Linked DNA regions of Stegostoma tigrinum. The main gene of each other region encodes a partner of the protein of the gene in region 3 in a complex. Links are inferred from orthologs where the notes say so. Each region holds a gene or a part of one and is shown on either strand. Other genes may lie near its edges. The genes, in order: thoc1, thoc3, thoc2 and thoc7.

Evidence for each region.
Region 1: the proteins of thoc2 (region 3) and thoc1 are in contact, whole or in part, in a cryo-EM structure (PDB 7ZNL), measured with the Homo sapiens proteins. The link is inferred for Stegostoma tigrinum from reciprocal best matches to the Homo sapiens genes THOC2 and THOC1. Residues at the interface, in NP_001075019.1 of Homo sapiens: Leu155, Phe156, Tyr157, Lys158, Gln160, Asn163, Leu164, Leu165, Arg166, Asn169, Glu170, Ala173, Lys174, Ile176, Ala177, Gly180, Gln181, Asn195, Lys197, Ser198, Leu199, Ile200, Gly201, Cys202, Phe203, Asn204, Leu205, Pro207, Asn208, Arg209; in NP_005122.2 of Homo sapiens: Asn134, Arg138, Asn141, Leu144, Arg145, Lys149, Thr153, Cys156, Gly157, Gln160, Leu161, Ala164, Arg165, Phe167, Gln242, Phe245, Arg246, Tyr297, Ala299, Lys300, Phe301, Arg319, His320, Leu323, Gln324, Ile327, Tyr331, Arg373, Phe374, Lys376.
Region 2: the proteins of thoc2 (region 3) and thoc3 are in contact, whole or in part, in a cryo-EM structure (PDB 7ZNL), measured with the Homo sapiens proteins. The link is inferred for Stegostoma tigrinum from reciprocal best matches to the Homo sapiens genes THOC2 and THOC3. Residues at the interface, in NP_001075019.1 of Homo sapiens: Tyr395, Arg396, Pro401, Lys402, Gly403, Ala404, Lys405, Gly406, Ser407, Pro446, Ile447, Ala450, Arg454, Cys500, Asn501, Ala502, Cys503, Met504, Glu506, Pro563, Arg566, Gln567, Lys570, His573, Tyr603, Leu604, Thr605; in NP_115737.1 of Homo sapiens: Asp193, Met196, Ile208, Val217, Gln218, Asn221, Ala222, Pro224, Ser225, Ala244, Asp245, Ala246, Leu247, Ser249, Trp251, Asp252, Asp254, Glu255, Leu256, Val257, Cys258, Val259, Cys261, Ser263, Leu265, Asp266, Pro268.
Region 4: thoc2 (region 3) and thoc7 share a complex: the UniProt entries of both Homo sapiens proteins name them as parts of the transcription/export (TREX) complex. The link is inferred for Stegostoma tigrinum from reciprocal best matches to the Homo sapiens genes THOC2 and THOC7.

What each region holds. Positions count from the first base shown.
Region 1 is NC_081358.1:78,360,409-78,367,494, reverse strand, and holds the start of thoc1 (THO complex subunit 1), read right to left. Parts: upstream 3,015-7,086; 5' UTR 2,998-3,014; coding exon 2,950-2,997; intron 1-2,949. UniProt on the Homo sapiens protein: Component of the THO subcomplex of the TREX complex which is thought to couple mRNA transcription, processing and nuclear export, and which specifically associates with spliced mRNA and not with unspliced pre-mRNA.
Region 2 is NC_081366.1:46,163,952-46,171,818, forward strand, and holds the start of thoc3 (THO complex subunit 3), read left to right. Parts: upstream 1-4,865; 5' UTR 4,866-4,880; coding exon 4,881-5,063; intron 5,064-6,437; coding exon 6,438-6,594; intron 6,595-7,867. UniProt on the Homo sapiens protein: Component of the THO subcomplex of the TREX complex which is thought to couple mRNA transcription, processing and nuclear export, and which specifically associates with spliced mRNA and not with unspliced pre-mRNA.
Region 3 is NC_081368.1:29,291,336-29,299,321, forward strand, and holds the start of thoc2 (THO complex subunit 2), read right to left. Parts: upstream 3,019-7,986; 5' UTR 2,995-3,018; coding exon 2,903-2,994; intron 1-2,902. UniProt on the Homo sapiens protein: Component of the THO subcomplex of the TREX complex which is thought to couple mRNA transcription, processing and nuclear export, and which specifically associates with spliced mRNA and not with unspliced pre-mRNA.
Region 4 is NC_081364.1:48,290,303-48,298,027, forward strand, and holds the start of thoc7 (THO complex subunit 7 homolog), read left to right. Parts: upstream 1-4,710; 5' UTR 4,711-4,770; coding exon 4,771-4,810; intron 4,811-7,037; exon of another isoform or gene 7,038-7,161; intron 7,162-7,725. UniProt on the Homo sapiens protein: Component of the THO subcomplex of the TREX complex which is thought to couple mRNA transcription, processing and nuclear export, and which specifically associates with spliced mRNA and not with unspliced pre-mRNA.

The DNA.
Region 1 (7,086 bases), on a different chromosome or scaffold from region 3:
AATAGAACTCCTTTAGAAACTTTCCTCCAGTCTGAAACATATCTACTGACAATTAAGAGGTAACAAGGTGTGGAGCTGAACACATCAGGCCAAGCAGCATCAGAGGAGCAGGAAAGCTGACATTTCGGGCCTAGACCATTTATCTGTTTCCTCACATTCAGTCAATTTTGTATTCATTTTGCTTAACTGTCCCTTTTGTACCATGACCTACAACTTTTCTCACAAGTCTGTTGTGTAGGGCTATTCAAATACCTTTTGGATATCCATGTACAAACACACCAACAGTGTTACCTTAACTGATCCTTTCTTTTACCTCTTCAAAAAACTCCCAGCAAATTAGTTAAGCATGATTTCCCCTTGAGAAATCCAAATCCATGCTAACGTATCCTGACCTTTTTCTGTGATTAATAATTCTATCCCAAATAATTATTTCTAGATGTTTTCCTACCACTGAAATTAAACAAACTGGTCCTAATTGATGGGATTATCTTCACCACCCTTCACGAATAAAGCTGTAATATTTGTAATTCTCTAGCCTTCAGGCACTTTCTAAGTCCAAGAAATGCAACAGTCAGTGCCCCTACAGTTTGGACACCCTCATTTCCTTCAAAAAATGTCAACATATCTCATCTGGTCTGTATGCCTTATGAACTTTAAGTGCCCACAAGCTATCCAAACTTCCTTCTTCATTGATTTTTTAAAAACTCTTCCAGTGATCGAATTGCCTCCTCTGTCACCGTGACCTAAGCAGACCTCCTCTTTTGTAAAGTTAAATGAATGCTTTTCATTTGTCACATCTGCCATGCCCCTCTGCCCCCTGGCATTGATCTCTTTTTGGTCTCTGGTTGAAATTCTCCTTTAACCACTCTCTTACTGTTCACATTACAGACAAAATCAGTCTGTGTAATGTTGCAAATTGTTAGGCATAAAGAAAACACAATTAAAGAGTAAAACCTGGAAATAACAGATGTTGTACTGGAGATCCATTTTCTTTATACAGAAGCCAAAGTGGACCAGTATACATCAAGTTTTACTGGTTTTAAATGTTGCAAACTGTAACAAATACATCAGCAGGGCCGAAAAATACTGCTTTTGAATTGTGTAGCCCTGGAAACAGCTAAGCTTTAAAAGCAATTTTAAATACTTTTCTGGTCTGCAATGTTGCTTTTAGTGATTTGTTCACTTCTGTCAATAAACTTGGTTCTTCAATACCATTCAATTTATTTTCCAACATACGGATGATGTTTCTGTTTTCTTGACCTAAGGACATACACTGTGTATTTATCGACTGGTTTGTTGACAACTTAACTTCCCAGTCAACAAGTTCTCTAAAGTCTGTTTGGATTTTGTTGCATTCTTATTCATGCACAAAAGAACTGAAATATCCATTCAATACTTGCTATTTCTATCATTGCCACAGTTTATCTTGCTCACTGATTAGTGACCCAATCACGACATTATCCTTTGATATTTGTGTCGACAGAAGAAAGTATATAGTTCATATTCCTTACTAATTTCATTATACAATTTATCCTAGCTTTACTGAATTATTTTTACTTCTCTTCTAAATTTATCATATACCCTATTGTCATCTTCTCAGATAGTATTTTAGCACTTCTTACCTGTCTTGTACCTCTATCATGTCCCAGAAGTGGATATCTTGTTTTTAAATTTTAGTACAATTCATTTCTCATGATTTAATATCATTTGTAAATTTCCTGATTCTTTTTATCTTTGCTTTTAAAGATCTTTTCCCAGCTTAACTTTAGTTGTTCTGAATTTGCATTTTCTAGCCTATTATCTTAGTTTTTCCCCCCCAAAGTCTCTCCCAATTTAAATACCAAACACTACTATGTTGTAATTACAAACAAAAGAAAAATTGTTAGAAAAGTTGAGCAGGTTTGGCAGCATCTGTGGAAAGAAATCAGAGTTAACATTTCAGGTCAGTTGACCCTTCCTCAGAATTATGTTGCAATTAACCAACTAAGACACTCCAAAGCTCTCTGATCGCCTTTCTGCTCTGGTTCGTTAGCTACTACATGATCAGGTAGTGATTCTTACCTTGGACTTCCTGAATAAAGAAAAGGAGAGAAAGGATTCCTGTAAATACTGTAAAATCTCAATTCCCTTTCATACATGTAAGTCATCATTGGATAAGCATATGGATGTACATGGAATAGTGTAGGTTAGATGGGCTTCAGATCGGTATGACAGGTCGGCACAACATCGAGGGCCGAAGGGCCTGTACTGTGCTGTTATGTTCTATGTTACTTGGCCCAGCAAGTTTAGTCAAAGATAGTCTAAATATTTAACACTTATTTAATGCCTGCTATTCAGCTCATAATTATTTTCCCAATTCCTTTTAAGTGCCTGGTACTTTATCATGTAGTACAGACAGGTTAACAGGTCCCTTGTCTTTTAAGGCATATCTTTCTGATACAAAGAATTTTCCATTCACTGATAACCCTTGGAAGTTGTAGGCTTCAATCCAGCTCTAAAGACTTCAGCGTATAATCAAGTCTGGCAATTTTAATACAGTCAAGGCTATCTTTCAGGTTAGACTTCAAATAAACGACCCCATTAGATGGTACAATTTGAAAAACGGAGAGGTTTGCCTGATGATCTGATCAGAAATTAATTATCCTTCAACATCATTAATCAATACACGCCCCCTTCTTTTAAAAATCAGGAACCGAATATACGATAAATCAGTGAACATATCAGTTTAATTCGGCACACAAGTCGACCACACTGGGCGCGAATAATGCAGATTTTAACAAATTAGTGCCACGCCGCATTTCCAGACCGGTGCTGGATATCGCTTTTGACGGCCGATCACTCCCTCCCCAACAGTTTCATTTAGCGTGAACTACCTACACCATCTATTATAAAGCAACAAAGTAAAATAGCCGATTAGTATCGGACGCAAAACTACCAACAACTCCTTACACTGAATTTCTGTCGAGCCTCATTAAACTGGAACAAACCAGGAGACATGTTGACCGGAAGTCCCGAACGTGAAGCAAGCTGGGAAATAGAATCTGGGCACAACAGCGCCCCTTCCGTTAGAATGGATTATTGACTAAACATGACAGGTGGAAGATGGGAGGGAGCCCAATAATAGTGTGGGATATTATGCAAAACCGAATGTTATGGTATGCAAACATTATTTATTGATCAGGGTCGGGGAGGAGGTCAAATTCCAGGATAACAAGGCGTGGAGCTGGATGAACACAGTAGGCCAAGCAGCATCTTCGGCGGAGGAAAGCTGACGTTTCGGGACTAGACCCTTCAGAAGGGTGAGCTTTCCTCCGCCGAAGATGCTGCTTGGCCTACTGTGTTCATCCAGCTCCACACCTTGTTATCTCAGATTCTCCAGCATCTGCAGTTCCTATTATCTCTGATACAAATTCTAGGATTTGAGATAAAGAGATGAGGGGAAATACGAGGACCATTCATTAGGTAATGGCCAGGATCTCTCAGCAGGTCGTGCAAGCAGAGACAACAATTTCAGAAGGAAATTGTTTGGCCATGAGAAAGGTCAACTAAACTGCCCGACACAGAGTAGATATTAACTCAGTGGGCTCAATGACAACCTGAAATGGTTCCATAACAGTATGCATAACTCAATATTATAGTTTGCAATATCAAAAACCAGTAAAACTTGAAGCATACTTAGATGCCAAAAATGGATCTCCTGTATGTTTGTTTCCAAGTTTTATTGCTTATTTACGTTTTTTTTCTGTCTGGGAGGAAGCCCATCAGTCTGCAACTTTACACATTATTTTTAACTATACTGTTGCGCAGAGTCCAGCATCACAAAGAGCACAATATTATAGTTTGCATCATTATGAAGAACACAAAATTACAGTTTGAAAAATTAGAGAGTCTAGAGAAAAGTATTGTTTTGCACGCTGTGCAGACAGATCATACCATACAAAATGCATCAGGGTAGCAGAACAGCTTGCAGAAAACAGTGTTTCAGCAGCAGGGAAGATGTAGAGAGAGACCAGAAGTAACATTTGAGAGGCCATTCAAAAGTCTGATAACAGCTGGGAAGTAGCTATTCTTGAATCTATTTTCGTACCCAATGGAAGATGGTGGAAGGGAGTATAACCGTGGTGGGAGGGATCATTGTTAACCTTGGTTGCTTTCCCAAAGCAGCAAGAAATTTGGATGAAGTCAATGGATTGAGGGCTGGTTTGTGTCATGAATTGGGCTGTCATTTTTTGAGGTCTCGGGAAAAGTACTTGCCAAACCATGCTGTGATGCATCCAGATAGGATGCTTTCTATGATGCATCTATAAAAATTGATGAGAGTCCTTGTGGACATTCTGAATTTCCTTAGCCTTTTGAGGAAGTAGAGATGTTGTTGTGCTTTCTTTCATCGTGGTTTGATCAGAACAGATTTTTGGTGATCATCACTCCCAGGAGCTTGACACTATTGACTATCTCTGTCTCAGCATCACTGATTGCATACAGGGGTGTGCCCTCCACTCAGTTTCCTGAAATCAAGCAATTAAAATGCTGGATATATTCAGCAGATTCCATAAACACCTGCTGAGAGAAAAGTAGCATTAATGTTTCAGGTCTTTGAACTGCCGTATTGCTCCTGAATCCTGGAAGAACCTTACACTTTTGTCACAAAGCTACACATCACTGAGCATAAATTGAACAGTGTGAGTTGAGTTTGAACTATCTCACAAGAGCACATGGACATGAATACACAAAAAAAATCAATTAGTCTTTTCTGAATGAATTTATAAGTCAGAACCTGGTGTATCTATGATTACCATGTATCACAGTATTCAGTTTTAATGCATGATTATAAATATTGTTGTTTTGAAATCTAAGCCTGAAGATTGTTTATGATTTTGCCTTTTACTTAACGGTCTGAATGCAAACTCATAGCGTGGCATCAAACAACATGATAAAAGATGGTGGAAATCACAGGATTCCCTGTCTTGAAAAAGAGTGAAGATCAAGAAACAGACCTGATATCCTGTGGAAAATAGAAGAATTTTAAAATGTAAATTTCAAGCATTTGCGGAATGGAGCCATAAAAGTCACAGAACTGCATAGCTGCTGTGAGGGAAACATTGAACAGAAAATGTCTTCCAATACCACCAGAGCACAACATTTCAAAATGCCTTTTAAATTCAGGAATAGAGCAAAGAAGCATTTAAATAAACAGTGAGAGCAGTAAAAGCCCACAAGCAGCTTATGGGCAAAATCTGAATCCAGGATTTGTGGGAAGAGTCTGATTACTGGATAACCAAAATAAATTTGATTCCTTAAGGGAAGGGACAAAAAGTTTTGTTTCCATTTGAAAAACTAGGTTGAGGAGCACTGTTAAGATGTTTAACAGTATGTAAACAAATTTTTGAACTATTTTCCTGCAGCAAAGTGAATAACGTCACAATAATTTTTCAGGTACAGCTTTAAGAAAGTTAACTGAAAAAGGAATAAAAAGGAATATGGATCATTATTGCTACTGAAGGTATCAGACCCTTAACTGTAAAGATAATGAAATCTTTTAAATTTTGATGGTTTTATGGACAAATTCGAGGTTTATTTGGCAACTGAGCAGTTTTACTAAATTTATTCATTAAAATAAAAAAACGGATAAAAGAAGAGGATCAATTTGATCATGAATTCAGAGTGTATATACCTGGGACATAGAGTTTATCTGCCATGATGAGCTCAGGCCAAACCTCAAGGATTTTCTTTAAACCGCATTTATTTACATTGTATAAATTAGAGTATTGCAATAGAAACATCTATCCCTAACCACTCACCTTCTGGCAGGGTGTCTCCCACATGACCACTGAGACACTTCAGCTCACTTCAAACTCATCTATATATTCCTTAAATCTAATCTCTACATATCCCTATATATTTCCCATTTACAAATATTGTAGCCCATTATCTGCATGGAAAAAGACATTTTTCATGGAATTGAGCTATTGATGTTGGTGACCACTATTGTTTTCCATAATAACAAGGTAGATATTCCCTTTAAAATCAAAATGTTCAACTCCAACTATTGTCACAGCAGTTTGGGGAAGGTGGATGGCAATAACGGTACAAAGTACAACAAGAGGAAGTCCACAACGGATTTGGAGATTCTGGACCTCTATCCAGACTTTTTTTATTGTCCTTTCATGGGACGTTGCCACTACACATGAGGTCAGCGTATTTCCCCACCCCTATTTGCCGTTGAACTTGCCAGATGTAGATGACAGCTAAGCATCAATAACTTTGCTCTGGTCTGGAGCCATATGTAGGTCAGACTAGGTAAGGATGGCAAATCTTACTCCCCAGAAGATGTTTGTGAACTTGATGGATTTTTATAATTGATATTATTTTCACAGTCACCTTTATTAAGACCAGATTGCAATTCCAGTTTTTAGTAATTAAACTTAAAGGCAATCAGCTGTTACGGTGCAATTGTAACCTGTGCCCCCAGTGCATTTGCTTGGACCTTCAGATCACTAGTCCATTGACATTAGTATGATACTACTCTCACAAGGGGACAGGAACATATGTAAAGAGTCAGAAGGAAGAGAATCAAGAACAAAAGGTAAAAAATGAAATAAAGAAAGTGGTAGGTGGAGAAATCAATGTTTGAGACCAAACAGAGCCATAGTGAAAAATAATGGGAATGCAACAGTAATGGTTAAAAAGACAAGTCTTAAGGTTTTGAAAGAGGTGAAAACAGGTGTGATACAGTCAGGATTATGGCAACATGGTCATAAGGCGACAAGGAATGAGAACTGAAAATTCAGGCATATCCAGTATTTAAGAACGGCATACCAAAAGGAAAAAACAATGGAGTTGCATCTTTGAGGAAATTGACTTAATAGTGAGGATGGATATTAGATCTGATGATGTGGAACTTTGCTGCTAGAAACATAGAAAAACACTAAAGTGCAAAAAGAATTAGTCAGGGTTATGTATAGATTCCCAAACCGTAGGAGTTATATTGGGAATGGCATTAAACAATAAATTTCAGACAGACTCAATAAAGGAATATTTGTAATTATGGGTGACTTTAATCTTCATATAGTTTGGGCAAATCAAATT
Region 2 (7,867 bases), on a different chromosome or scaffold from region 3:
CTCTGCTGTAAAGAAAGAAACCCGAGCTTATCCAGCCTTTCAGTATAGCCAAACTGTTCCATCTCAGGCAACATCCTGGTGAGTCTCCTCTATACCCCATCCAAATCAATCACAACCTTCCTATAGTGCAGTGACCAGAACTGCACGCAGTGCTCCAGCTGTGGCCTAACCAAAGTTTTGCACAGCTCTAACATAATCTTCCTGCTTTTATATGCTTTGCCACAACTGATAAAGGCAAGTCCCATTTGCTTCAGAGATAATGGGAACTGCAGATGCTGGAGAATCCGAGATAAAGTGTAGAGCTGGATGAACACAGCAGGCCAAGCAGCATCTTAGGAGCACAAAAGCTGACGTTTCAGCTAATGTGGCAGCTTTTGTGCTCCTAGGATACTGCTTGGCCTGCTGTGTTCATTCAGCTCGACACTTTGTTGTCCCACTTGCTTTAACTACCTTACTAACCTGTCCTGCCACCTGTGGATAAAACACCCCAAAAACCCTGTTTCTGAGCTGCCATTCATTGAGTACTCCTTTGTCTTGTTACTTCCTTCCAAAGGGCATCACCTCAAACATATCCAGTTTATATTCCACTGATTTACCATCTGGCCAATACATCTATATCCCCTTGTAACCGAAGAACTGCTTCCTCACTGTCAACTATCCGGCCAATCTACATATCATCTGCCAACTGACTTATCACCCCTTCCACAATTTATCCTCTCTCATGTCTACATGTAACAAACAATAAGGAATCCATACTGATCCCTATGGACACTGGCCTCCAAACACACAAACAACATTTTACCATTATCCTCTGTCTCCGAACGCTGAGCCAATTTTGGATCCAAATTGCCAAGTTACATAGATCCATAAGACCATAAGACATAGGAGTGAAAGTAAGGCCGTTCGGCCCATCAAGTCCATTCCGCCATTTAAATCATGGCTGATGGGCATTTCAACTCCACTTCCCTGCACTCTCCCCGTAGCCCTTGATTCCCTGTGAGATCAAGAATTTGTCGATCTCTGCCTGGAAGGCATCTAACGTCTTGGCCTCCACTGCACTCCGTGGCAATGAATTCCACAAGCCCACTACTCTCTGGCTGAAGAAATGTCGTCTCATTTCAGTTTTAAATTTACCCCCTCTAATTTTAAGGCTGTGCACACGGGTCCTAGTCTCCCCACCTAACAGAAACAACTTCCTAGCGTCCACCCCTTCTAAGCCATACATTATCTTGTAAATTTCTATTAGATCTCCCCTCAACCTTCTAAACTGTAATGAGTACAATCCCAGGATCCTTAGCCGTTCATCATACGTTAAACCTACCATTCCAGGGATCATGTGTGTGAATCTCCGCTGGACACGCTCCAGGGCTAGTATGTCCTTCCTGAGGTGTGGGGCCCAAAATTGGACACAGTATTCTAAATGAGGCCTAACTAGAACTTTATAAAGCCTCAGAAGCACATCGCTGCTTTTATATTCCAACCCTCTTGAGATAAACAAAAACATTACATACGCTTTCTTAATCACGGACTCCACCTGCAAGTTAACCTTTACAGAATCCTAGACCAACACTCCCAGATCCCTTTGCAATTCTGCTTTACGAATTTTCTCACCATTTAGAAAATAGTCCATGCCTGTATTCTTTTTTCCAAAGTGCAAAATCTCACATTTACTCACATTGAATTTCATCAGCCATTTCCTGGACCACTCTCCTAAACTGTCTAAATCTTTCTGCAGCTTCCCCACCTCCTCAGTACTACCTGCCTGTCCACCTATCTTTGTATCATCGGCAAACTTCGCCAGAATGCCCCCAGTCCCTTCATCCAGATCATTAATATACAAGGTGAACAGCTGTGGCCCCAACACTGAACCCTGCGGGACACCACTCATCACCGGTTGCCATTCCAAAAAAGAGCCTTTTATCCCAACTCTCTGCCTTCTGTAAGACAGCCTATCCTCAACCCAAGCCAGTAGCTCACCTCGAACACCATGGGCCCTCACCTTGCTCAGCAGCCGCCCGTGAGGCACCGTATTCCATGTACTTTCATTTTCTTTATTAATTTCCCACATGGTACCTTGTCAAAACCTTTGCTAAAATCCACATAAACATCAAATGCACTACCCTTATCCGCACATCTCGTCACCTCTTTGAAAAATTCAATCAAATTTTGTTAGATATGAATCTCCCTCTAAAGTGCCGACTATCCCTGATCAAACTTTGCCTTTTGAAGTAGACATTGATTCTCTCTTTCAGAATTTTTTCCAATAGTTTCCTACCATTAATGTGAGACTCAATGTTCTATAATTCCCTGGTTCATCTCTCCAACTCATCCTGAAAAGTGCAACCTCATTAGTTGTTCTCTAATCCTCTGACACCTCTACTGAGGTCATACAGGAATTAATATTTGGGTCAGAGCTAATGTAATTTCCTCTTTTGTCTTCCACAGCAGCCTGGGATACAAATCATCTGGACCTGGGGATATCTTCATTTTAAAGCTTCCCAAAATCTCTAATGTCTCATCACTCCCTATGCCAAACTGCTCAAAAACATTACAGACTCTTTTCCGAAAAATCAATCAGAAACCTTATTACCTTGAAAAAAATACTTGGTTGAGGACTTGAACTGCCAAAAAATTCAAAACGATGGACCATGTGCTGGAAAGTGGGATCATTATTGACAGTAGTTTTTTTGTCAGTGCAGACTTGAAGGGTGGAAGGCTGTCATCGATGATTTTATGATCTGGGACCTGATATATAACTACAGTTTTTTGAAAACTTAGTGTTATCAATTTGTCCCGTCATATTTCCAAAATTTTACTCATGAACATTGTTTTCCTCTACCATAAACAAATATCCAAAACAGTAGGGGCACATTGTATTTTTTGTTACTGCTTCTGCAATCCGTTAAAATTAGTATGGACTGATCTATCAGTCAGGAGACAGAAGTGAAGTACTCATTTAACATGTTTAACATTATAAACTCATTTGATGTCCTCTGACTCCACACATAGATTGCCCCCTTGGTCCGTCGCAAGGCTTGAATTTTCCATGGTAATCCTCTGCCCCCTAATATACTTATAGAGCATCTTGGGATTCTCCTTAATCTTACTTGCCAGTATTTTCTCATGCCCCTTCTTTAGTTTCCCAATTACTTTCTTAAGATCCCCCCTTTGTGCTTCCTACACTAGGGCAATGAAGCTTCTGGTCATATGCTCCCTTTGAAGCTGTTAAAAGTCTCTCTTTTCCTTCTTATCCTGTACTGAATATTCCTAGTCATCTAGGGTCCTCTGTGCTTGTTGCTCCTACATTTGCCCCTAAATGTACACATCTGACATTCACCCAGAGGGTTAGAAAACAACCACCCAGAGGGTTAGAGAATTGTGGACATCCAGACTCACCGCCTAGAGGTACAGTCAGAGGTAGAAACTCTCAAGACATTTAAGAACAATTTTGATGGGAACTTGAAACACCATTGCATATGAAGCCAAGAGCCAAGTGCTGGAAAATGGTATAGAATAGATGGATGTTTCACGGCCAGTATGGTATGATCGGCTGAAGGGGAACTTACCATACTGTCAAAAACCTTTCTGACCAAGGCTGGTTCTACTTTATTATTTTGATATTAACATTATTTTTTTCCTGCTTTCCCCCTCTTTTCTTTAGAATAAAGTTCCATGGATTATAGACATCCTCCAGTACTCAATCTAAATTTGCTGTACTTGAAACATTTTATAACTCTCACCTAAAGTATACACTTGTGTACTTTCAGCAGATGTTGGTGAATGAAAACCCTGGTTTAGTTTCCCCTACCTAGCTTTACCCTGGAGCATTAGAGGCTGACAGCTAACCTTATAGAGGTTTATAAGATCATGATAGCGTGGATAGCCAAGGTCTTTTGCCCAGGGTGGAAGAGACCAAAACTAGAGCCAAAATGTCAGTTTTTGTGCTCCTGAGATGCTGCTTGGCCTGCTGTGTTCATCCAGCTACACACTTTGTTATCCAAAACTAGAGGGCATAGGTTTAAGGTAAGAGAGGAAAGATTTAAAACAGACCTGAAGGGTAACTTTTTCACACAGAGGGTGGTGCATGTTTGGAATGAACTGCCAGAGGAGGTGGTGGAGTCTGGTACAATTACAACATCTTAAAGACATCTGGATGTGTACATGAATAAGAAGTGTTTAGAGGGATATGGGCTAAATGCTGGTAAATGGGACTTGATCAGTTTAGGATATCTGATCGGCATGGATGAGTCAGACCGAAGGGTCTGTTGCTGTGCGGTATGACTCTATGAATCTATGAGTGAGGATTGTACAGCCCTCTCCTGTGAAAGAACCAAACAGAAATGCATGAACAGAGATAATGGGAACTGCAGATTCTGGAGAATCCAAGATAACAAAGTGTGTAGCTGGATGAACGCAAATCCCCACCTATACTCTTCTCTCCACCTATCTTCTCCTCTACCCATCTTCGGTCCGCCTCCCCCTCTCTATTCCAGAACCCTCTCCCCATCCCCCTCTCTGATGAAGGGTCTAGGCCCGAAACGTCAGCTTTTGTGCTCCTGAGATGCTGCTCGGCCTGCTGTGTTCATCCAGTTTCACACGTTGTTATCTCAGAGATGCAGTGAAAGGGTCATTACCCCTTTAAGACAGTAGTAAGTGATATCTGACCGTACCATTTCTTTCCAGGGATGGATTTTAGAGCACAAACTTTTCAAAAATGAAAACTGGTTGCATTTTCAAATATGTTTAGAGAGAAAACATGATTTTTAAAACGACATAAGTATCAGTTGTGCCCGAGGTCTGCAGTCACCAAGTAATCCCTGTGACCATTCGCTCACGCCTCCCCCATCCAGATTGTGAGAGGAGTGGACCGAGCCGGCAAGATGGCGGCAGCCAGTTACTTGCTGGAATCCCAGGAGCATTTCAAAAATAACGGCCGCACCAAGGAATTCTCGGCCCATACGGCCAAGGTGCACTCGGTGGCTTGGAGCTGCGATGGACGCAGGCTCGCGTCTGGCTCCTTCGACAAAACAGCTAGTGTGTTTGTGCTAGAGAAGGATCGGCTGGTCAGTGGCGAGATGAAACAGAGAGAGGATGAGAGGGGAATCAACCTTCAACTCGGTTTATCTCCCTCTTGCCCCAACACACACACACACACACACACACAGCACACAAGCCGTCCGGCCTCCGTCACTAAAGTATCCAGCACCTGATAAAGTACCCCCAATACAAGCCCTCCAAAATGCTCCCACTCCCCCCGACACCCGTACCCGTGCTCGTTCGGTGTTCTGTTTCTACTTTCCCCCCGCACCCCCTGTCATAAAAACCGAAAGGGCTGCGGATGTTGTAAATCAGAAACAAAACAGAAAAACTCAGCAGGTCTGGCAACATCTGTGAAGAAAAAAAAATCAGTTAACTTTTCGGGTCCGGTGACCCTTCCTCAGATGCTGCCAGACCGGCTGAGCTTTTCCAACGACTTCTGTCTCTCTCCCCGTCATGACTACTTAGTAACCTTAACTCCTGGAATCCCTACACTGCGGGAAAAGGCTATTCTGCCCTCTGAAGGAATCCCACCTTGACCCCAAACTTGTTCCCCGTAATCCCACATTTACGATGACTAACCCACCCAGCCTACACATCCCTGGATACTATGGGGTAATTTAGCATGGCCCATCCACCTAACATGGATGTAAGTGCTGGCTCCATGGTAACACGTCCGCCTCAGTGCCAGTGGACCGGTTTTGGTGCCAACCTTGGGTGACTGTGTGGGGTTCTGCTGGGTGCTCTGGTTTTGTCCCATAGCCCGAAGGTGTGCAGGCTAAGTTGGTTAGCTGTAGTCAATTCATAGTTATATGGATAAAGTGGGATGCTCTCCAGAGGGTGGTGCACGTTTGATGGGCTGTATGGTCTCTTTCCAGACTTTAGAGATTCTATGATTTTTGGGAACCTCATATAATTGAAATTGATCAGCAGAGACTGAACTCCTGAGAATTTTCGGTACACACTTTCACTTTTTTTTTCTTTTAATCTTAATTTTCATGAAGAATGAGGTCAGCCAATTGATACCCTTCGGAAGTCACAAATGAACTGTAAATTTTTTGTATGTCTACCAGTTATTTGAAACAAGGTAATGTTTGCACTTTTGCCTTTCTCACATTGAGGCATGATATAAAATTGTGTTCATTACTAACCGTGACTGCATAGTTATTTTGTTGATGTGCTGAGTGAGAAATGGTTTTCTATGCTTTGAAGAAATTTTCAACTGTACTTGCCATCATCACAGGGAAATAACCAATGTGACACTCATTTCCAGGAAAGCTACTCACTCACCAACAAATATAGTCCACCTTTCTTTACAGAAAGTGGATCATACAGCTATAACATTTTTATTTCGCATTCAGTTCACTTATTTCTTTATGTAACATTTTTGCGTATTTCAGGTTAAGGAGAATAATTATCGTGGTCATGGTGACAGTGTGGATCAACTTTGTTGGCACCCAACCAATGCAGATCTCTTTGTAACTGCCTCTGGTGACAAAACGGTTAGAATCTGGGATGTCCGAACTGCAAAATGCGTTGCTACTGTGAACACGAAAGGTATGTTATTGAGGAATTTCCTGGATACTGTAATATATGACTTAATGTATAAAAATTTTGTTCATATAATGAAGGGTTAGGAATGACTTGACTGACTACAGTATGAAAATGCTGCTTCCAACTTAAATAGTTGAGATGCTCTATATTTAGGATTTTTGTCACCAAAGATTGCATATCATCGTTCTCTACAAATATACTATCATTTCTTAGTATGTTATTTCAAGACTGTAAGATATAGGAGCAGAATTAGACCAATTGACCCATTAGGTTTACTGTGCTATTCAATCATGGCTGATATGTTTCTCAACAGCATTCTCCTGTCTTCTTCCTGTAACCCTCGATTCCCTTACTATTCAAGAACCAATCTTTCTCTTATTTAAGCACACTTAATAACTTGGCCTCCACAGCCCTCTACAGCAAACGTGTTCCACAGGTTAACAGAGAGAAACAGGGGGAGGCGGATAGAAGATGGATAAAGGAGAAGATTGGGTGAGAGGAGATAGACAGATCAAAGAGGTGGGGTTAGAGCCAATGAAGGTAAATGTAGGTGGGGAGTTAGGGGGGGATAGGTCAGTCCAGGAAGGATGGACGGGTGGGGTATGGTGGGAGCGGGACGAGGTTAGTGGGTAGGGGATGGGGGTGGGGCTTGAGGTGGGAGGAATGGTTAGGGAGGCGGGGACTAACTGGGCTGGTTTTGGCATGTGGTCGGGGGAGGGGAGATTTTGAAGCTTGTGAAGTCCACATTGATACCCTTCGGCTGCAGGGCTCCCAAGCGAAATATGAGATGCTGTTCCTGCATCTTTCGGGTAGCGTCATTTGTGGCAATGCAGGAGGCCCAGGATGGACATGTTGTCTGAGGAGTCGGGTTGGCGGGGGGGTGGGAGGAATTGAAATGGTTCGCGACTGGGAGGTGTAGTTGTTTGTTGCGAACAGAGCGTAGGTGTTCCGCAAAGCAGTCCCCAAGCCTCCGTTTGGTTTCCCCAATGTAGAGGGATTAGCGGATACAGTATATGTGAGAAGTCTTCTGAGAGCCTGGGACCAGGGTGACGTATAGAGGCAGGTGTAGCACTTGCTTCTGTTGCAGGGAAAAGTGCGGGGATGGTGGGGCTGGAGGGGAGTGTGGAGTGGACAAGGGAGACACGGACAGAGTGGTCCCTCTGGAAAGCATATAAGAGTGGGGAGGGAAAAATGTCTTTGGTGGGGTTGGATTGCAGATGCCTACAGGAACGGCATCAGAATGATTCTACACACCCTGACACACTCATCACACTAC
Region 3 (7,986 bases):
ATTTCTGATCTATTTTCCCTCATCCCCTATCTGAATTCACCATGGCCATGAGACACACCTCCTGCTTCTCTGATCCCATCCCCAAACTGATGATCACACAACTTCCGATCCTGGTGCCTCTCTTCTAACACTGTCCCCGCCTCCATCATATCTTCTGTTAGCATCTCCTTCAAAGTCAACGTTGAAACACAGAGTCCTTGCAAAATGCCATCCCGTGCTCCAACCTTCAACTCCCTCACTTCCCAAATCTATTGCCATTTTTTCAAAAATTCCACCTTTGAATCATTCCAATTAATTTTTTGCCCTGCCACAGCTCCAAAAAGGCCTAGAACCAATTCATTAATATTATATGATTGTACCATAAATAAACTTTTGCCCACAGTTATGCTCAACCTATCTGTAGCCTGACAGTTGACCACACCACTCTTCTTTAAATGCCTCTCCATCACTGTCGAGTTGATAGATAAAAATGGAACAAGGCAGACACAATCCTATCAAATCATAGCCTGAAAATTACTTGCAATGATTTCTCTTCTTGCTCCTGCACAATACCCTTGGCTTTCCCCAAGGACTTATTTTTGGCTCCGTCTCACATATTCCTTTGGCATCATCTTCAAAAGGCAGTGTGTTGGTTTTCACAATCACCCAGCATTGCCTCACCACCAACTCTTACAACACTGTTGCTAAATTATCAGACTACTTATCCAAATACAGTACAAGAACAGCAGTTTTCTCCGAAAAAAAACCTTCCAGGTTGAAGCTCTTATTTTAATTCCTTCAAATTCCAAATTCTGTTCGCCAACTTGCAACTTTGAGACACACCTCCTGCCCAACAAGTCTGGGATTCAGCATTTTTGTTTTCCACAAGCTTGGCATCATTATGACCCTGAGTTGAGTACCAGCTCACATTTTCCTGTCTCCACTTTTGTAGCATGGTATTTCTTCAGCCATTTCAGGTCATCTGCTGCATTTTCCGTTCTCCATCCATTCTGTGACCACCACCCACCTCCCCAACCCCACTGGTTTCCAATCAATGTTTTAAATGCAAAATTTGCATTTTTGTTTTCAAATACCTGTGGCCTCAACCCTTCCTCACTAACTTCCTCCAACTATACAACCTTTCAAAATGTTCACATTTTTCTAATTCTGGATCCTTGCACATATTTAAATCACATCTGTTCCACCTTCAGTAACTGTATTTTCAATTGCTTCTCCATTATTTTACAGCTGTCTTTTTCTCTTTTTTAAGACACTTGTTGAAACCTACCCCTTTCTAATCTAGTATCTCACGTGGCTGTGTATCACATTGTGTTTTATAATCTTCTCGTGAAACACCTTAATGTTTTTGCTCATTAAAAAAGTGTTATACAAATATTGGTTGCTAATGTTATTATTACCATAGCACAAGCTCTCATGAAAATCTGGTGTATTTTGATTATAATTCAAAGAAAGCTTGAATAAAGTCCAATTTTATTTTGTACCATTCAAAACTTGAAAGTCATAAATTCTGTTTTCACAAAAATTTGTTGAAGGTTATAAAGATTTAAAGTAAGCAATGCAATATTGATAATAATCTACTTTTCATCAGATTCAACTGCAACATGACCTTCTGTTCCCAATTAGTGCAAATATTCTATATGGTATTTTTGCTCTAAATTTCAGAACACTCGCGTTTCAGTTAACCATTTGATAGTCCCACATTGTAACAGATTTAGATCAGAAATTTTATGGACAAAACCCATAACTGCTCAATATCAACCTGGATAAACTGAGTTATGAAAAGTATACCAATTGCATCATAACCAGGATTTCGATATTTATGGGCTGTTACTTTGCTATAATCACATTGTTAGTGTAATCACAGATCCAATTCCAAGTCTGATAATGTCAGAAAAGAGATCACAACTTTCTGGAAGTAGACATGACAAAGTGTGGAGCTGGATGGGCACAGCAGGCCAAGCAGCATCTTAGGAGCTTTTGTGCTCCTAAGATGCTGCTTGCCCTGCTGTGTTCATCCAGCTCCACACTTGGTTTTCTTGGATTCTCCAGCATATGCAGTTCCCATTATTTCCTGAGGAAGACCTCTTTCTCCGTTTCATTTGAAGTCATTTTGGATTCCACAGCCCTAATTACATCAAACAAGTTTGGATGATACAAAAACAAAAAATCATTTTTCATGACAATATTTTTGTATTGGTGTATCTTTAGATTTAAAATTGATTTGTTTAATAAATTTCATCAAAATCCAACAAACCGCAATGAAACAGATTAGGTTGATATATATGTCGCCCTCTATCCTTAGTTTCCAACTAATCATAATCGTTTAAAGATCAGAATCAAAATGACAACATAACTTACATTTCATATGCAATCCATTCCAAAATACTTTGCAGTAACCATTACTTTGTCTGAATATTTTGGCATGAACTGAATTGTGGGAAAGACGTAATCTTGTCACTTTCAACCTAAATTTAGATTTCAATATTTATCTTATGATGAACAAATCAACAACATAATTAACACCTTTGAAAGTTAAAAAAGTCCTGAAATCAGAAACCTATTTCCTACGTCAAATAGCACATTTATCTCGTTACCTTTAAAACAAAACAAATTCTCATAACCAAGACATTATGCAAGAGACCCACATATTGTCGATTTACGGACCAGAAACAGTCAAGTTTGTTATTAAGCCTTTTCTGGATTAAAACCGATTAGGCCACCACCGAACTAAACGCCACCACGTTTTACATTATGTAAAATTACACAAAGCTCAAACATGGGGGGGGGGGGGGTTACGCGATTTTCATTCGCAGCCCAATCGCGTTCTGCACTCTGCCTATTCTAAGATACAAACGATCAGCTCCATATGCACACTTAGGGAGTTTATTTCCGCCCGACTTACAAATCCGTTTTGCCCCCTTTCTCCCAATTCTTCAACCAGTCGCCATGGAACACCATCACCGCCATCTTAGCTGCACACCATTCTGCACTCATAGCCCGGATGTATCGCCCGGTGAGATGAGGGGGTCACAGGTCAATGTTACCCGCTGCATGTTGGGATACTGAGGGCAAGCCAATTGTTAGTGGAGGAAGCCCTGTGAATTTTAGGTATGGTTTGTTCCCTGGCTTTACCGAGGCTAAACCAGCAGTGCGACAAACTTCTCCTAGCATTTGCTGAGAGAGGAGCCTTTTGGATCTTGCAAGAACTGGGAAAATTGGACAATATGTTCAGTTGCCCCTTGAATCATGTACTTCCTGTGGGGAAAGCACCCTTAGTAGGTACTTTCTGAGGTAAATCAGATTTCGTGCTCAGGAAATTTTTTGTGTTTCCCCCAATTCCTATTTGCGTTGAAAGGTTATGGTGAATTTTTTTTTCCATATTAAAAAAATAAATAAACTTTAGATTAGCTGAAGTTTATTCTACACATCTAAGAGTTGGAAGACTACCTGTCACAACCAGAATTAGAGTTGTACAACAGACACATACCCTTCGGTCCAACTTGTTCATGTAGACCAGAGATCCTAAATTAACCCAGTAACGTTTGCCTACATCTGGCCAATATTCCTGTAAACCCAAAATAAAAACAAAAAGATTCGTGAATGCTGCAAATCAGAAGCAAAAACAGAAATTGCTGGAAACGCTCAGCAGGTCTGGCATCATCTGTGGCGACAAACTCAGTGAAAATGTTTTGGGTCGAGTGACCTTTCTTAAGAACCCTCTAAACCCTTCCTGTTCATGTACCCGTTCAGATGCCTTTTAAATGTTATAATTTTGCTAGCCTCCACCACTTTCTCTATCATCTCATTCAGTCTGTCTCATCCCATTTATCTGTGGTTTTTTTGATATTTTTTAAAGTTCCAAAAATAAACATATAACAATAATTATTGCTCCAAGAAATAAAAGAAATCAGTTCCAGCACTGAAAAACTCAGAAAGAGGAACAGCTCTTACAACCTTAATTTCCTCTCAACCTCCATTTTGGTCACTCATTTTCGGAACATATATCTGTTAGGATACATTTGTTTGGGAATACTGGTATAAATTCAGAAACCAACAAAGGAGAACTAAAAAGATAATAAAGTCAAAGAAAATAAACTGCAAGGACAAGCTGATAAGGAATATAAAAACTGATGATAAGATCTTCTTTTAAATATATCAGAGGGAAGATAGGTCAAAGTGAACGTAGACCTTCTTGAACATTGAACCCGGACAGATGGTTATGGTGAACAAGGAAATGGCAGAAGAGTTATAAACTCTCTTTTGCATCAGTCTCAATGGTTGAGTATACTTTGAAATCCCCTTAATGCAAAAGAATATGGAGAATAATTAAGTACCATCCTGATTACGAAAGAAGAATTTTTCGACGAACTAATGAGGTGAGAAACAGATCAGTCCACGAGTCTTGATGACTTGCGTGCAAGGATCTGAAAAGAGGTAGCTGCAGAGATAGTGATGCATTGATGGTAATTTTCCACAAATCATTGGATTTCAGGGAAGTACCAAATTAATGGAAAACTGCTAATGCAACACCCCTATTCAAAAAGGGAGTAAGGCAAAAAGCAGATAACTATAGGCTGATTAGCGTAACATCAATTATTGAAAAAGTATTGGAATCAATTCTTAGGGAAGTAATAGCAGAACTTTTGGAAAATGGCACAAAAACAAAGTTCTGGAAAAGCTTACGTTTCGGGCCTAGACCCTTCATCACCCCTCTCTGATGAAGGGTCTAGGCCCGAAACGTCAGCTTTTGTGCTCCTGAGATGCTGCTTGGCCTGCTGTGTTCATCCAGCCTCACATTTTATTATCTTGGAATCTCCAGCATCTGCAGTTCCCATTATTTCTGGAAAAGCTTAGCAGGCCTGGCAGCATCTGTGAAGGAAACAACAGTTAACGTTTTGGGTCTGGTGAACCTTCCTCAGAACTGAGGTGTTCGGAGGAAGGATCACCGGACCCAAAACATTAACACTGTTTTTTCCTTCTCAGATTCTGCCAGACCTGCTGAGCTTTTCCAGCGACGTTTTTGCTACTGATTTACAGCATCCGCAGTTCTTTCGGTTTTCATTTGGAAAATGGGAACTATTCATGCAGAGTCATTATGGTTTCATGGAAGGCACATTGTCCCTGACTAACATGGGATTCCATTTCATGGGGCATTGGCATCAGTTTTTTAAACTGGGGGGATCTGTACCGTTGGGGACGGTCTCCACCTGAACCAATCTGGAACCAGTGTTCTAGCGAAAAGGATAAATAGGGTGGTCAGTAGGACTTTAAACTTCTGAGTTGGGGGGAAGGGAAGGCGAAAGTGACAGGGAGTATGGAGTTAAATGGAAAGATAAGCAACAGAATAGCAGGTGTACAGGTGGGTTTAAGCTTGAGGCAGACTAGGAATACAGCAAAAAGGAAGGATAGCTTAAGACATCTTAGGATTTCCAGTATCTCTAATAGTGATAAGAAAGTTAGCATTGAGGCACTTCACCTAAATGCTTGTACTATTCACAACAAAGTAGATGAATTAACAGCACAAATCATCTTGAATGATTATGATGTGGTAGGCATCACAGAGACATGGTTGCAGGGAGTTCAGGACTGGCAGTTAAACATTCAAGGATTCACAACTTATCGAAAAGACAGGGAGGTGGGCAGAGGGGGCGGGGCTGCCTTGTCAGTTAAGAATGGAATTAAATCCACGGCACTGAATGACATAGGGTCAGAGGATGTGGAGTCTGTGTGGGTGGAGTTGAGGAACCACACAGGCAAAAAAACCATAATGGGAGTTATGTACAAACCTCCTCACAGTGGTCAGGACCAGGGGCGCAAGATGCACTGGGAAATAGATATGGCATGTCAGAAAGGCAAGGTCACGGTGATCATGGGGGACTTCAATATGCAGGTGGACTCGGTGAATAATGTTGCCGGTGGATCCAAAGAAAGGGAATTCATGGAATGTTTACAGGATGGCTTTTTGGAATAGCTTGTGATGGAACCCACAAGGGAGCAGGCTATTCTGGACTTAGTGCTATGTAATGAGCCTGACTTTATAAAAGACCTTAAAATAAGGGAACACTTAGGAGGCAGGGATCATAATATGATCGAGTTCAGCCTGCAGTTTGAAAGAGAGAAGGCAAAATCGGACGTAATGGTGTTATAGTTAAATAAAGGTAATTACAGGAGCATGAGAGAGGAATTGACGAAACTCGACTGGAAACAGAGGCCTAGCGGGGAAGACAGTAGAGCAACAATGACAGGAGTTTCTGGGTGTAATTGAGGACACAGTGCAGAGGTACATCCCAAAGAAAAGAAAGATTTATCCGGGGTGGGATTAGACAGCCGTGGCTGTCAAAGGAAGTCAGGAAATATATCAAAGAAAAAGAGACAGCCAATAAAGTGGCCAAGAGCACTCGGAAATCAGAAGATTGGGAAGGCTACAAAAACAGACAGAGGATAACAAAAAGAGCAATAAGGAAGGAGAGGATCAAATATGAAAGTAGGCTAGCTAATAATGTTAGAAATGATAGTAAAAGTTTCTTTCAATAAATAAGAAACAAACGAGAGGCAAAAGTAGACATTGGGCCCCTCCAAATTGATGCTGGAAGGCTAGTGATGGGAGATAAGGAAATAGCTGAAGAACTTAATAAGTACTTTGTGTCAGTCTTCACAGTGGAAGACATGAGTAGTATGCCAACAATTAAGGACAATCAGGGGGCAGAGTTGAGTATGGTAGGCATTACAAAAGAGAAAGCGCTAGAAAAGCTAAAAGGTCTAAAAATTGATAAATCTCCTGGCCCCGATGGGCTACATCCTAGAGTTCTGAGGGAGGTGGCTGAGGAAATAGTGGGGGCTTTGGTCATGATCTTTCAAAAGTCACTGGAGTCTGTGAAAGTCCCAGATGATTGGAAAATTGCTGTTGTAACCCCCTTGTTTAAGAAAGGATCAAGGCAAAAGATGGAAAATTATAGGCTGATTAGCCCAACCTGGGTTGTTGGTAAAATTCTAGAATCCATTGTTAAGGATGAGATTTCTAAATTCCTGCAAGTGCAGGGTCAGATTAGAACAAGTCAGCATGGATTTACTAAGGGGAGGTCATCCCTGACAAACCTGTTAGAATTCTTTGAAGAGGTAACAAGTAGGTTAGACCAGGGAAACCCAGTGGATGTTATCTATCTAGACTTCCAAAAGGCCTTTGATAAGGTGCCTCACGGGAGGCTGCTGAGCAAGGTGAGGGCCCATGGTGTTCGAGGTGAGCTACTGGCTTGGATTGAGGATTGGCTGTCTGACAGAAGGCAGAGAGCTGGGATAAAAGGCTCTTTTTCGGAATGGCAACTGGTGACGAGGGTTCAGTGTTGGGGCCTCACTTGTTCACGTTATATATTAATGATCTGGATGAAGGGACTGGGGGCATTCTGGCGAAGTTTGCCAATGATACGAAGATAGGTGGTACTGAGGAGGTGGGGAGGCTGCAGAAAGATTTAGACAGTTTAGGAGAGTGGTCCAGGAAATGGCTGATGAAATTCAACATGAGCAAATGCAAGGTTTTGAACTTTGGAAAAAAGAATACAGGCACAGACTATTTTCTAAATGGTGAGAAAATTCGTAAAGCAGAAATACAAAGGGATCTGAGAGTTTTGGTCCAGGATTCTCTAAAGGTTAGCTTGCAGATAGAGTCTGTGATTAAGAAAGCGAATGTAATATTGTCGTTTATCTCAAGAGGGTTGGAATATAAAAGCAGTGGTGTGCTTCTGAGACTTTATAAAGCTCTAGTTAGGCCCCATTTAGAATACTGTGTCCAATTTTGGGCCCCACACCTCAGGAAGGACATACTGGCCCTGGAGCATGTCCAGCGGAGATTCACACGGATGATCCCTGGAATGATAGGTTTAACGTATGATGAATGGCTGAGGATCCTGGGATTGTATTCATTAGAGTTTAGAAGGTTGAGGGGAGATCTAATAGAAACTTACAAGATTATTTATGGCTTAGAAAGAGTGG
Region 4 (7,725 bases), on a different chromosome or scaffold from region 3:
TCTTCCACACCAGCTCCCTCCCTTCTCTTTCCCTCGTCTTCCCTTTCCATTTACCATCTGAACCTCTCCTGTTTTCTGCATTTCTCCCCCCTCATCTCCTGCTCTTTCCTGTCTCTTGTCTCCTCCTTCATCCTCCCACTTTTCACACTCCCACAGCTCTCTTTCTCCCCCTTCCTGTCCTGTTTTTCTATCTCTCTGTCTCCCGCTTACCATATTCCCCTCCTTCGTCTTCCCATTCTCTGTTATTCCATGCAACTGCCCCCTCTTCTTTTATAGTTATAAAGATCCACAGCACAAAAAAAGGTTATTTGGCCCATAACTTTTCTGCCAGTCAAAAACAAGCATCTAACTATTCTAATCCCATTTTCCAGTACTTGACTGATAGCTTTGTGTGCCTTAGCATTTCAAATCTTCCGTGATAAACACACTGCCTTTTTTAGATGCTGTCTTTATCTCCTTAAAGTAGCTAAATGATAGGACAGAGTCTATTAGGGTGCCTGTAGACTACTCCCTATCAGCTTTTTCTTGCCCTTGTTGTTTCTTACTTCTACCCATTTAGATGTGGCAGATGGATTTTAATACAAGCAAGGTTACCCATTTTTGGATTGCAAAAGAATAGACAAGGGTATTTTTTTTATAAGGCATAAATTTAAATACATTGCCTGATCAATGAGATTTAGGGATTGAGGTGCATCGATCTTTAAAATGCCACGAATAAGTGCAGAATTTAGTCAAGAAGAGTAATGGAATGCTGGTTTTCATACTAAGGGGCCGAAATATGGTGATACAGACGTAAGGCTGCAGTTATACAAAACAAAAACAAAGTTGCTGGAAAAGCTTAGCAGGTCTGGCAGCATCCACGAAGGAGCAAACAGAATTAACGTTTCGGGTCCAGTGACCCTTCACAGATGCTGCCAGACCTGCTGGGCTTTTCCAGCAACTTTGTTTTTGTTCTGATTTACAGCTTCCACAGTTCTTTTTGTTTTTATGCAGTTATACAAAACCCTTGGTAAATCCCATTTAGAGTACTGTCAGCAGAACTGGGCACCATGCCTTAGGAAGGATGTTTTGGCCCTGGATGGAGTTCAGCACAGGTTTAAAAGGATGATAACTGAACTTCAGGAATTCAAATTATGATGAGAGATTAGACAAATTAGGCCTTTACCTTCTAGAATTTTCAAGGTTAAAAGGTGATCCACTCAAGGTCTTCATAAAGATAAACTATTTCCATTGGTTGCAGGTTCAACAACTGGGGACATAGTCTAAGAATTAAACTAGACCATTCAGGAGACATGTTAGAAACTACTTCTATATGTGATGAGTAATAAAGTTTGGAACTGTCTTCCTCAAATGATGTTTGATGCTAATTCAATTGTTAAATTTAATAAATCTGACAGAGACAATTTATTTTAACAAGCAAGGGTATCAAGAGATTTTGGGTCCCAGGCAGGCATATGGAATCAGGCTATAGATCAGCCATAGTCTTATTGAATGGCAGAGCAGGGTCAAGGGGCTGAATGGTCTAGTCCTGTTCCTACTCTACAACTATCAATTCAAGATAATTTCTTGCTATTGTACTTATTCCATTTCTTCTTAAAAATCCCAAATGCCCTTTTCTTTCTGTCTGTTTGAAAAATCACATACCCTTGAAAATTTAGCTCCCAGCAATGATTTCCTTGAAACCATGTCTGTGTGATGCCAACAAGGCAATACCCATTAACTGCTATTTATACCGTTAATTCACTTATTTTGTTTTTAATAAAGAGCTGTTAATTTTGAAATAGCTTCCAACATGGACCTGCACTGATTTGCCAACTGGGGAAGGGTGGTAGGTTGTAATTAGCAGCTTGTGTTGGACTGATCCAGGGATAGTGATCAAGAGCCTGGGATACTGGCTGTAACACATGATTTGGCGAGCATAATCATCAGAGACTGTTGATTAGGCTGTGCGAAAAGGCATTTTGGTACATATTGTCACTTGTTGGTGAAGGAGAACTTTGGTTGTGTGTCTTTTGGTTTCTGACGTTATTCCCCCTCCCTCATCACCAACCCCTGTCCCTCTGTCATGTCCCCCAACCACTGACAACCCCTCCTTCTGTCATTCCAGCCCCCGACTGTTGTCTCCCCACCTTCTGTTGTTAACTCCCTCCCTCTGTCATTACCCTCTCCCTGTATTACTTCCCCTCCCCTCCTTCATCGCCCCCTCCCTCTGGTCATTCCCCCTTTGTCCTTTCCCTCTATCAATAACACTTCCCTTCCCTCTTCCCTCACACCCTCCCTCTGTCATCCTCCTAGATGAATATATCTAGATGAGAACGCCACTACTGTTACAGACTTCATTAGCAAATGTGTAGAGGACTGTGTGCCAAAGAAGTGAATCTGAATGTTCCCGAGGTGGAAACAACAGATGAGCCGGGGATCCATTGCCTACTGAAATTCAAGTGTGTCGAGTTCAAGTCAGGTGGCCCTGACCTTTACAGGAAGTCCATATAGAACGTCTGTAAGGCCAGAAGAGACACTTGAAGGCAATATCGGACTAAGCTAGAGCCCCAAACTAACCACACAGGCGCCCACCATTTGTGGCAAGGCCTACACAACACAACAGGCTACAAAATGAAGCAGAATTAATAACTGATGAAAATACACCCCTCCCTGCTGTGCTCAATGCACTTTATGCTCGTTTCAAACAGAAGGCCAGCGAAACGGTGTCACCTGCCCCAATAGACTCAGATGCATGTGTTCCCTCCGTCACCGCTGCAGCTGTCAGCTCGGCCTTCTTGAGAGTAAACCCACTAGAAGTGACTAGCCCAGATGGAGTCCCCGGCTGTGCACTTGGATCCTGCGTGTAAATCCTAGTGGAAGAATTAGCTTGGAGACAATCAGGATTGCAGATACTGGAAGCTGGAACCAATAAACGTGAAGCTGGAAAAGCACAGCCAGTCACACAGCAACCAAGGAGCAAGAAAGTCAATGTTTCAGGCCAAAACCCTTCATCGGGACTCACGGAGAAGGAGTAATCACTGACATCTTTAACTTCTCCTTAGTACAATCTGAAATCCCCAACTGCTGCAAGAAGACCACCATCATCCCAGTGCCAAGGAAAATTCATGCAAAGTGCCTCAATGATTCATCCATCGTTTCCGGTTGGAGAACATACAGATTGCCTTTTTTGGCATGCAGTCGTTTATACACTTGCTTATGAAGTCTGTATCGGTAGTGGCAAACTCATCTAGGTATTCTAGTTCTGACCTCCATAGTCAATGGCTCATATAAACTGAAGCCTCCCAGGCTGCCTTGATCCCTTGCAATTCGCCTTTTGTCCCTACAGGTCTACATTAGACACCATTTCCCTGGCACTACACTCATCCTTGGAACATCTGGACAACAAGGTTACCGATGTCAGACTCCCACTTATTGATTACAGCTCTGCCTTCAACACTACAATTCTAACCAAATTAATCTCTAAATTCCAAGACCTGGGTCTCTGTTCCACCCTCTGCAATTGCATCCCCAACTTCCTGACCCACAGACCGCAATAAATGAGAAAATGCAGCAACACCTCCTCCGTAACAATCGTCAACACCGGTGCCTCACAAGGCTGCGTAATCAGCCCCTTACTATACTCTCTGTTACACGCACGGCAGTGTGGCCAAATTTCATCATAACTCCATCTACAAGTTTGCTGATGACACCACTGTTAGATCTCAAACAATGATGAGGCAAAATACAAGTAAGAGAGAATGCTTAGTAGTGTGGGTAAAGATAACAATCTCTCCCTCAAACCAAATGAAAGAGCTGGTCATTGACTTCAGGAAGCAAGATGGAAGGCATGCCACCATCTACATCAATGGAGATGAGGTGGAAATAATTGGGAGCATCACGTTCCTAGGTGTGACAATCACCAACAATCTGTCCTGGTCCATCTACGTTGATGTGACAGTCAAGAAAACACAAAATGCCTCTATTTCTTCAGGAGGCTAAGGAAGTAGCAATCGGTAGTAGATTCGCCAACTTTTAGTACATTTAAGTCATCATTGGACAAGCATATGGACGTACATGGAATAGTGTAGATTAGATGGGCTTCAGATCGCTATGACAGGTCGGCACAACATCAAAGGCCGAAGGGCCTGTACTGTGCTGTAATGTTCTATGAAATTTGCCATGTCCATTAAGACTCTTACCAACTTTTACAGATGCACCACAGAAAGCATTCAATCTGGATGCATCATGGCTTGGTGCAGCAACTTGTGTGCCCATGACCATAAGAAATGACTGAGTTGTGAACATGCCCAGTCCATCACACAAGACAATGACCCACGCATTGACTCTACCCACACTTCTCACTGCTTTGGAGAGGCTTGCCACCATAATCAAAGCGACCTCCCACCCTGGTTATAACCTCTTCCAACTGCTTCTGTCAGGCAGAAAATACAATAGCTTAAACACATGTACCAGCAGGTTCAAGAACAGCTTTTTTCCTGCTGTTATTCGACTCCGAATGGACCTTTCAAATTTAATGTTGACCTTTCTCTTTGTGCGCCTTCTCTACAGCCGTAATACTGTATTCCTCTCAGGTCCAGTACCCTTGTCGTACGATCTACCTGCACGACATACGATAATAATAAATAAAATACCTCCACTCCCCACTCGCCCCCGGACTCCGCCTCCCGATCTCTACGTCAACATGACTCCGCCTCCCGAAACCCCCCACCCCCAAATACCTTGACTCCACCTCCCAAACCTCTGACCCCGCCTCTTGGTGCGCCGCGGATGTTTGCTCGGCCTGGAGCCGCCATGTCGGTCACTGATGGTAGGGCCTGTTTCCTTTCCTAGTTGTGCGCTGCCTGGACCTGAGGCTTGGGCCCTGGACCCTGCTTTCGGGCACTGAGTTGGGGGAGCGGTGCGATTGTCGTGTTGAATCGGCTCGTTGTTGTTTCAGCCGGTCCGTGCTGGTGGAGCCCGGGTCTCTGCCGGCTGGATCCTCGGGTCATGATTCTGATTAAGTTCCGGTTAAACCCACAGGCAGTCGGTTATGTGATGGAGTTTTAAAGAGACCAAGTAGTTCGCAGAGGTGGGAGTGGAGTAGGGACCTTGCCAGAGAACAAAGTATCAGTAACTGAGGGCGGAGCAGCAGAGGATATGGTCAGTGGGCCCTTCACTCTGTTCTGCTTTGGACCTATCCCTGACACCCGCACTTTGCAAATAAACATTTACAATCAACAGGAAGAGAAGGATCTGTCCCAGCCTTTACGAGAAGGGCGGAGTTGATATGGCTTGATGATGGCGTCTATAGCTTCCCCGATCCTTCTTTGATCCATGATAACAAGGTGTAGAGCTGGATGAACACAGCAGGCTGAGCAGTATCAGAGGAGCAGGAGAGCTGACATTTTGGCCTAGACCCTTCTTCAGAAATTGGTCAGACACTGCTCTGTGGAACTATAACCGAGAAGTGTGAGGACAATTTCCATACATAGGTCAATGTCACCTTTACTCCTCACGTTCTTCCCTTGATCTCAAGGCTCTTGCTTCTCATCGTGGCCAAAATGTACTCCACGTTTAATGTTAGCAAAGCCAAAAAAAACTTTGTCTTCACTTTAGTCAATATCTATTTGCATTTGGCCATGACTTACCAGCTGGTTGCTTTCAAACCTTTGGTCGTACAACTATGCTTGGCAAAGATAAGCATCATTTCCCACCTTCTGTTGAGACTGCATTATTTCTGACACTCTTTATCCTATTGTTACCAAATGCAAATGCTTGAGGCTGGACTTGTCTAGTATTTTCCCCATCTTGCCTCCACCTTCTACAAATTATTCCTAATGAAGTAGACTGTGCATTGTTTGCTCAAAATCCTATTCTTATCACCCCTGGGAATAACTTCATGATTCTGATCTTTACTTGCTGATTCTTTTATTTGTTTGCTATACCTTAGTGCAGTAATTACTTTTAACTAAATAGCTGACACACTCTGGATGTCAGCATACCCGACATCAAGTGAACCCAGATAGCTCTGTTGGTATGTTACGCTTTTAAGCAGGGTTTTTTGTGGTGCAATGGTAGTGCCTGTACTACTGAGTTAGGAGACCTGCTTTCAAGTCCCACCTGTCCCAGACATGATTGAACAGGTTGTTTAAAATGTCTACTCTTCATCTAGAGATGTGTTATAGATTCATAGAGTCGTACAGCACGAAAACGAAAAACTAGATGCTTCGGTCCAACCAATTTATGCCGAAAGTCATCCCAAACTAAACCAGTTTCACCTGCCTGTTCCTGGCCCATATACTTCCAAACCTTTCTTATTCATGTACTTACCTAAGTGTCTTTTACATGTTCTATTTGTGCCCACATTCACCATTTCCTCAGGAAGTTCATTCCACACAGGAACCACCCTATTGTGTTTTTAAAACAAGTGCCCTCCATGTCATTTGTAAATCTCTCCCCTGTCATCTTTAAAAATATGCACCTTAATCTTGAAATGCATGACCCAGGGAAGAGATACCTACATTTAACCTTATCTCTATACTCCTCGTGATTTTACAAACCTCCAAAAGATCACCTTTCAACCTCCTCCATACTTAACTATCTTCAGATCCCAAACCATCTTTCCTTTTTACCCTTTCCCCATAAAGGTGCTATTAATGTCTGATATATCAAGTATGTTGAATTATTTTAGTCTTAACTGTAAAAAGATCATTGACAAAAGTTTAAATCTCACCAAATAATTCAGTTAACTATTTAGAGACTTTTGAATTGAACTTCATATGCACTAAATCTATGATGCAAATTCAGATGTTTAAGATTCCCTCCTGCACAGAGTTTTGTCACTTTTGAACTTTATTATACTTATCATAAACTGTCCTAAGGTGCTTCACAGGAGCATTATCAAAATTTGATACCAAAGCTCATAAGGTATGAGGACAGGTGACCAAATGCTTCTTTAAAAGATAAGTTCTAAGGAATTCTAACATTTTCCAGTTCTTCCCTTCTCTGCTGCCTTACATACTGAGTGTTTCTAACTTTTTCTGTATTTGTTTCAGACTTCCAGCAGCTGTGCTATTTTGATTTTATGCCAAGTTTAAGGAGCATCTTAAAGGAGGAGGAGAGAGTTGGAATGGTTTACGGATGGAATTCCAGAGCTTAGGGTGGAGTGATTAAAATCAGGTGTGCATAAGGCAGAATACGGAAAAATAATGAGATCTCATAGGATTGTAGTTCTGGCAGAAGTTGTAGACACAGGGAGAGGTGGAAAACTGAGAAACGTGAAAGCAAGGATAAGCTATTTTTCAAATTGTGGTGTGGCCAGACTGGCAGTATAATGACGCACAGATATAATAGATACCTGATGGCTGAATTATAGTGCCACTTAGGTGCATTGTAACTTTAAAAAAAAGTGTGGCAACGAATTACCATGTGTGCATTCATGAACATCATTTATATATTGGAATTTGCCTATCAAACCTATTTATCAAGCAGTACTTGCTGACTAGCAATAATGTTGGGTGTTTGCTTTTTTTTTCAGATGCGTGTTAATTTCAACCTTTACTGTAGGCTTCATGAGTTTGCTAAGAACTGAAGTGAAAATAGATAGCTTGTAATTTTCCTGGCGTTTCTCAATCCATTCTGCTGAAGAGAGGCATTATTTGACTGCTTTGCTCTTGTGCTGTTAATGTTTCCTGCAAGATTTTGGAAATCATAGTCACAGTCTTTGTGACTCTCAGTTACATT